Linked DNA regions of Lepisosteus oculatus. The protein of the gene in region 2 purifies or fractionates together with the protein of the main gene of each other region. This does not show direct contact. Links are inferred from orthologs where the notes say so. Each region holds a gene or a part of one and is shown on either strand. Other genes may lie near its edges.

Region 1 (3,795 bases), on a different chromosome or scaffold from region 2:
TCCGTTCCCTTTCCCACATGTACTAAGCAGAATATCCATTTTCTCCTCTGTATTTTGACTGAGCTTTGTTGCTGTGAAGAATACAGCTCATGCGCAGGAGTTGGCAAATTTGTTGGCAAAATCCAAGTATTCACTGAATACCACAATAATGAACAATGTCCCAGAAGATTCATGTGAAGATTCCGGAAGTTCACTTTACTCTTTCTGAAGAGGTCTTCTGAACAAGAGAATGTGTGGCTCTGAAATAAGAGGGAGTGAAGTTATAATCTATTCCATATACATAGACTTTTTTCAGTATGCTACTTAATTTGTCAAAAAGCATTGATCTTTAGTCCTGGAGAGGACTTGTGCTCCTATAAAACAGGATAAGTTCGAATTCAATCAGTTTTTATTTTTCTACCTTCATCACAAAAAGTGTTTGCTTCCCTACAGCACTACAAATTATTCTTTGCTCTAAATCTACCATTTCACACAAGTCATTATGTCTTAAACTATAAAAAAAAATACAGGCTAGTAAAATTGAGGTCCAAATCTAAATCTTTTGCAGAGAATACTAAAAATTCCTTTAGACTACGTTTTCTATACATAAAGGGTTTTGATATCTGGATCTCATCAAAATGGAAAAACTGGCTGGAGTGAAACCATTCCTGGTAAAAACTGCAATTAACCTGAACATGCAAAAGCAGAAAGCCAGAACAGATTTCAGAGGGTTTAAGTGCCATAGTAAGTACAAACCAGGTTCGTGGATCATGTAGTGAACCCATCCAAGACTCTGCTGTACTCCTAACCGCCTCCATTCGTCTTCTGACATCAAGTGTGTTTTGGGTACTTGTTTTGCCAGCTCCTTGGGTAGCATTACATGCCTGTTAAAAGAAAATCAAAAACCTTTATTTATCCTGTGGTACAGACATCTCTATCTCTACTCCCGGTGATCCCCATTCCAACAGGATTATAATCAACATCTAAAGAGAAACACTAACTACAGGTGACTTATTAAATTAAGTAGGAGAAGACACTCTCGTATATATGCTGTGGGGGAAGAAGGACACCACCTACTCGTAGAAATATTAAGTGCAGATTTTATAGCATAAATATATAAAATATGTTTTCTACATTTGCAGAATACTTAAACATCCAAGGAGGTGGTAGTGAGGTTCAGTAAATAACTTATTCCTGAGAAACTATTGGCTAGTCACGTTTTAGAGTTCCACAACTCTACAGCAAAGATCTGCAGCAACACTGCTGGGGATGGACAGTACCAGCATGTATATATTTTGTCAATGTTTTAAAGTACTAGTCATCCATAAAGAACTGCAGCCAAATTCTAAAAGCTCACAAAGCATATTAAGAGAATCACTCTCACAGATATGCGATTTGATGAGTTCGCATTTGCTCTTTGTATGGGGCTTTGCAGTGATACTTGTATGCTCTTTGTATGGGGCTTTGCAGTGATATTTACACCGAGGGGATTTAAGAAACACTCAAGGAAGTCATGGGCCTGAAAAGTTCTACCAAAGAGAACAACAACATCTGCAAGTAAAGATAGAAGATCATGCTTGAAAACGACATACCCCCTGAAAATCATATTCACGGGGTGCAAAAAAGTCGACTTTTCTCTAAATAAAATGAACGATTACATATTCGGTCACTGCATTGGTAAACTGCGGAAAAGGTTTTTTTTAATCTGAAAACAGTGAAGGTGGAGCACATTCTGCTTTAGAAGGAACCAACCTAAACTGCCCTGTGATTTAGCAATTTGCTTAAAACTGCAGGTATACCATCCACCGTCTCTCTTTGATGTTTGAAAAGCCGAATCGTCGCGTTTCGCATCTCTGGTTTATTTCGTCCACAGGAAACGTGGGGAGTTTATCTGCAGGCGCCGGGAGGAAACACTGGCTGGTCTGTTTTCCGAAGTTCAGCCTGGGACCAGCAGCCTCGTTTTCTAGAAAGTTCCGGGTCTCCAACTAAACAAGCTTTTTTCAATTTTAGTTCTTATGAGTTTGAATGCTTGTACAAGAGTGGTTTCCTTTCGAATGAAGCCCGTTTGATACCGACGCTAAAAAAAAAAAATCTCCCGCATGGCGAACAGGAAAGTAACTTTCACTGACTCACCCAGCCCACAACAGAAAATAACTGTTCGCAACATGAAATCGCAGATTAAAATCGATCATTTTTTTTGTTACGTTTAACTAGCTAAAATACAAAAATACACAAAGCTTAAACATTTCTCATCAGTTTGTGTTTGTAATGAAAACAGAGACCTCCTTTCCAGCCTTCGCGCATCCACCGCGCTATACAATATAGAATAATCACTACCATTTATAAGGCTTAAATCTCACGAGTTACTATTTACCACTGTCTAGTAAATATTTTTTTTACTACAGCTACTCCTCCTCCTACCACACTATGAAGCACTGAACAAATGATAATTATTTTACCTGTATTCATAGTGGTCATCGGTATATTTATCGGAGTAGTAGATCTGCTTATGAGCCATGGCTTGAGTAAAAAATGACTGTGCTACAAAACTGGAAGCAGTAATACTTTTAAAAACGAAGCAAAATAGTAACTTCTCCACACAGCTCTGATTCCCAGTCCAACCGACACTGGTTTCAAACAGCAACAGAACTGCGAATTGAACAGCGAGAGCAAGCCTCTGATTGGACAGAGGGATGCCACGTGACATCCCTCTCCCTGCGAGAATCGCAGAGGATCACGGGGAAGGAGGTCAATTTTTTTTATTATTGAGACGCTCAGGAACCACGAGGTATAATTAATACTGGGGGCGGTTCTTGCAATACTGGTAAAATGTGTAAGGTAAAAATTGATCATTATTTACGATATATTTTTAAAAGTTGTCACTGAAGATGTTAAAGATAATAGATTTCGCTGCACGTCGTTTCTATAGCACAACTGTATAATCTTACCTAAATTGTGTGCTTTGAATTAACTACACTTAACATTAGGAAAGAGTCTTTATTATCTATAAGGGGCAATTTGTTTACAGCGGCTGACAATAAAGGAAAACTCTCAAACGATACACATGTATATTAAATAATTTGTTTTTAGATTGGGAAATCTGTATCGTCTGGAATGAAATGTGTTTTCTCAAAACTCGAAACTCATAGACAGACGTGGGATATGGTCGCAATTAATTTTGACAATACCGCCCAATTTGTTCTTATTTCCCAGATTTCGATTCTCAGACCAGCAAATTAGGGTATAACCATGCCATTAATCAGAAATGCTAGGTAAAATAAATACGTTTTAATAAAAACAAATATGAATACTTCATCCTACCACACCAACAGAAAATAAGGATCTAGTGATTTACAAGTCGTCAGGACTGGTTTGCAAATACCTGCATCATCTGTTTCTTTTTAATCACGTGTAGTTTTCAGTGGTCTCTTGTAAAAAATCAAAACCATTAGTTTGATTAATAAGAATTTTTACTTACAGTTATTTATTTGCTTTTTGTTGAATGTCTGTGCCACCTGAAGATATCTATACTAAGTTGCCATTTGGGTGTAGAATGACCGAGAACGTGTTCCCTATTCCGTTTATAACATGAACTTGGTATTTCTTACATTTAATAAAGTATTGAACTGCAGATGAAAAAAACAATCGTATAACAGCTTCAAAGTATTAATTAGAAAGCTTTCTAGGAAACAGCAGGAAGAGATAGGTGAGTTTTTTTCTACATATAGTAATTAATTGGAATGAAACATACATATTACAGTATTAACACAGCATTCTGTGAATTGACAACTACATAATTAATTTCAAGATAAAAAG
Region 2 (3,795 bases):
CAGTCAGTCTGTCCTGCCCTCACCTGCGCAGTCCCTGCAGTCAGTCTGTCCTTCCCTCGCCTGCGCAGTCCCTGCAGTCAGTCTGTCCTGCCCTCGCCTGCGCAGTCCCTGCAGTCCTGTTGCTCGCCCCTGTGTCCTCGCCTGCGCAGTCCCTTCAGTCAGTCTGTCCTGCCCTCACCTGCGCAGTCCCTTCAGTCAGTCTGTCCCTCGCCTGCGCAGTCCCTGCAGTCAGTCTGTCCCTCGCCTGCGCAGTCCCTGCAGTCAGTCTGTCCTGCCCTCACCTGCGCAGTCCCTGCAGTCAGTCTGTCCTTCCCTCGCCTGCGCAGTCCCTGCAGTCAGTCTGTCCTGCCCTCACCTGCGCAGTCCCTGCAGTCAGTCTGTCCTGCCCTCGCCTGCGCAGTCCCTTCAGTCAGTCTGTCCCTCGCCTGCGCAGTCCCTGCAGTCAGTCTGTCCTGCCCTCACCTGCGCAGTCCCTGCAGTCAGTCTGTCCTTCCCTCGCCTGCGCAGTCCCTGCAGTCAGTCTGTCCTTCCCTCGCCTGCGCAGTCCCTGCAGTCAGTCTGTCCTGCCCTCGCCTGCGCAGTCCCTGCAGTCAGTCTGTCCTTCCCTCCCCTGCGCAGTCCCTGCAGTCAGTCTGTCCTGCCCTCCCCTGCGCAGTCCCTGCAGTCAGTCTGTCCCTCGCCTGCGCAGTCCCTGCTGTCAGTCTGTCCCTCGCCTGCGCAGTCCCTGCAGTCCTGTTGCTCGCCCCTGTGTCCTCGCCTGCGCAGTCCCTGCAGTCCTGTTGCTCGCCCCTGTGCCCTCGCCTGCGCAGTCCCTGCAGTCCTGTTGCTCGCCCCTGTGTCCTCGCCTGCGCAGTCCCTGCAGTCCTGTTGCTCGCCCCTGTGTCCTCGCCTGCGCAGTCCCTGCAGTCCTGTTGCTCGCCCCTGTGTCCATGCCGGTCCCGCGGGAGACGCAGCTGTCCTCCCCGCCTCTCCCTGTTCCTGCCTTCTTCAGCCAGGCGGAGCAGAGCTTCTCCCTGAAGAAGAGGCGCCCGCAGCCAGACTCCTCCTCCTCCTCCTCTTCCCCTCCGCCCCTGTCCCGCTCCCTGCCCCCCCGGCCCCCCTGCAAGGGCGCCCCCCCCCTCAGCCGGGTGTTCCCCCAGCGGGTGCCCTCCTGGAGCCACCCCCGCCCCCGGCCGGTGTCCCTGGCCCTGCTGCCCCCCCGCCAGCTGCCCTCCTCCCAGTACAACCCCAGCAGCCCCCAGTCCTACTTCCAGCAGTGCTTCTCCTGCCTGGGCCTGCTGGGCAGGGGCTCCTTCGGGGAGGTGTTCAAGGTGAGGGGGTACAGCCCTGAGGGGGTCAGAGGGGAGGTGTTCAAGGTGAGGGGGTACAGTCCTGAGGGGGTCAGAGGGGAGGTGTTCAAGGTGAGGGGGTTCAGTCCTGAGGGGGTCAGAGGGGAGGTGTTCAAGGTGAGGGGGTACAGTCCTGAGGGGCTCCTTCGGGGAGGTGTTCAAGGTGAGGGGGTACAGTCCTGAGGGGGTCAGAGGGGAGGTGTTCAAGGTGAGGGGGTACAGTCCTGAGGGGGTACAGTCCTGAGGGGGTCAGAGGGGAGGTGTTCAAGGTGAAGGGGGTACAGTCCTGAGGGGGTCAGAGGGGAGGTGTTCAAGGTGAGGGGGTACAGTCCTGAGGGGGTACAGTCCTGAGGGGGTCAGAGGGGAGGTGTTCAAGGTGAGGGGGTCAGAGGGGAGGTGTTCAAGGTGAGGGGGTACAGTCCTGAGGGGGTCAGAGGGGAGGTGTTCAAGGTGAGGGGGTACAGTCCTGAGGGGTACAGTCCTGAGGGGGTCAGAGGGGAGGTGTTCAAGGTGAGGGGGTACAGTCCTGAGGGGGTCAGAGGGGAGGTGTTCAAGGTGAGGGGGTACAGTCCTGAGGGGGTCAGAGGGGAGGTGTTCAAGGTGAGGGGGTACAGTCCTGAGGGGGTCAGAGGGGAGGTGTTCAAGGTGAGAGGGGGTACAGTCCTGAGGGGGTCAGAGGGGAGGTGTTCAAGGTGAGGGGGTACAGTCCTGAGGGGGTCAGAGGTGAGGTGTTCAAGGTGAGGGGGTACAGTCCTGAGGGGGTCAGAGGGGAGGTGTTCAAGGTGAGGGGGTACAGTCCTGAGGGGGTCAGAGGGGAGGTGTTCAAGGTGAGGGGGTACAGTCCTGAGGGGGTCAGAGGGGAGGTGTTCAAGGTGAGGGGGTACAGTCCTGAGGGGGTCAGAGGGGAGGTGTTCAAGGTGAGGGGGTACAGTCCTGAGGGGGTCAGAGGGGAGGTGTTCAAGGTGAGGGGGTACAGCCCTGAGGGGGTACAGTCCTGAGGGGGTCAGAGGGGAGGTGTTCAAGGTGAGGGGGTACAGTCCTGAGGGGGTCAGAGGGGAGGTGTTCAAGGTGAGAGGGGGTACAGTCCTGAGGGGCTCCTTCGGGGAGGTGTTCAAGGTGAGGGGGTACAGTCCTGAGGGGGTCAGAGGGGAGGTGTTCAAGGTGAGGGGGTACAGTCCTGAGGGGGTCAGAGGGGAGGTGTTCAAGGTGAGAGGGGGTACAGTCCTGAGGGGGTCAGAGGGGAGGTGTTCAAGGTGAGAGGGGGTACAGTCCTGAGGGGGTCAGAGGGGAGGTGTTCAAGGTGAGGGGGTACAGTCCTGAGGGGGTCAGAGGGGAGGTGTTCAAGGTGAGGGGGTACAGTCCTGAGGGGGTCAGAGGGGAGGTGTTCAAGGTGAGAGGGGGTACAGTCCTGAGGGGGTCAGAGCGGAGGTGTTCAAGGTGAGGGGGTACAGTCCTGAGGGGGTACAGTCCTGAGGGGGTCAGAGGGGAGGTGTTCAAGGTGAGGGGGTACAGTCCTGAGGGGGTCAGAGGGGAGGTGTTCAAGGTGAGGGGGTACAGTACTGAGGGGGTCAGAGGGGAGGTGTTCAAGGTGAGAGGGGGTACAGTCCTGAGGGGCTCCTTCGGGGAGGTGTTCAAGGTGAGGGGGTACAGTCCTGAGGGGGTCAGAGGGGAGGTGTTCAAGGTGAGGGGGTACAGTCCTGAGGGGGTCAGAGGGGAGGTGTTCAAGGTGAGAGGGGGTACAGCACTGAGGGGCTCCTTCGGGGAGGTGTTCAAGGTGAGGGGGTACAGTCCTGAGGGGGTCAGAGGGGAGGTGTTCAAGGTGAGGGGGTACAGTCCTGAGGGGGTCAGAGGGGAGGTGTTCAAGGTGAGGGGGTACAGTCCTGAGGGGGTCAGAGGGGAGGTGTTCAAGGTGAGAGGGGGTACAGTCCTGAGGGGGTCAGAGGGGAGGTGTTCAAGGTGAGGGGGTACAGTCCTGAGGGGCTCCTTCGGGGAGGTGTTCAAGGTGAGGGGGTACAGTCCTGAGGGGGTCAGAGGGGAGGTGTTCAAGGTGAGGGGGTACAGTCCTGAGGGGGTACAGTCCTGAGGGGGTCAGAGGGGAGGTGTTCAAGGTGAGAGGGGGTACAGTCCTGAGGGGGTCAGAGGGGAGGTGTTCAAGGTGAGGGGGTACAGTCCTGAGGGGGTCAGAGGGGAGGTGTTCAAGGTGAGGGGGTACAGTCCTGAGGGGGTCAGAGGGGAGGTGTTCAAGGTGAGGGGGTACAGTCCTGAGGGGGTCAGAGGGGAGGTGTTCAAGGTGAGAGGGGGTACAGCACTGAGGGGCTCCTTCGGGGAGGTGTTCAAGGTGAGGGGGTACAGTCCTGAGGGGGTCAGAGGGGAGGTGTTCAAGGTGAGGGGGTACAGTCCTGAGGGGGTCAGAGGGGAGGTGTTCAAGGTGAGGGGGTACAGTCCTGAGGGGGTCAGAGGGGAGGTG

What was found. Proteins that work in one complex are often made in the same cells at the same time.
Region 1: the proteins of pkmyt1 (region 2) and zgc:86839 purify together in Homo sapiens (affinity purification with mass spectrometry; 3 studies listed by BioGRID and IntAct, counting the BioPlex papers as one, with this or other methods). This does not show direct contact. The link is inferred for Lepisosteus oculatus from reciprocal best matches to the Homo sapiens genes PKMYT1 and CKS2.

Annotation. Positions count from the first base shown.
Region 1 is NC_090698.1:20,805,351-20,809,145, forward strand, and holds the start of zgc:86839 (cyclin-dependent kinases regulatory subunit 2), read right to left. Parts: upstream 2,653-3,795; 5' UTR 2,498-2,652; coding exon 2,439-2,497; intron 864-2,438; coding exon 736-863; intron 240-735; coding exon 196-239; 3' UTR 1-195. UniProt on the Homo sapiens protein: Binds to the catalytic subunit of the cyclin dependent kinases and is essential for their biological function.
Region 2 is NC_090699.1:1,217,481-1,221,275, reverse strand, and holds the start of pkmyt1 (membrane-associated tyrosine- and threonine-specific cdc2-inhibitory kinase), read left to right. Parts: upstream 1-929; coding exon 930-1,310; intron 1,311-3,795. UniProt on the Homo sapiens protein: Acts as a negative regulator of entry into mitosis (G2 to M transition) by phosphorylation of the CDK1 kinase specifically when CDK1 is complexed to cyclins. Mediates phosphorylation of CDK1 predominantly on 'Thr-14'. Also involved in Golgi fragmentation.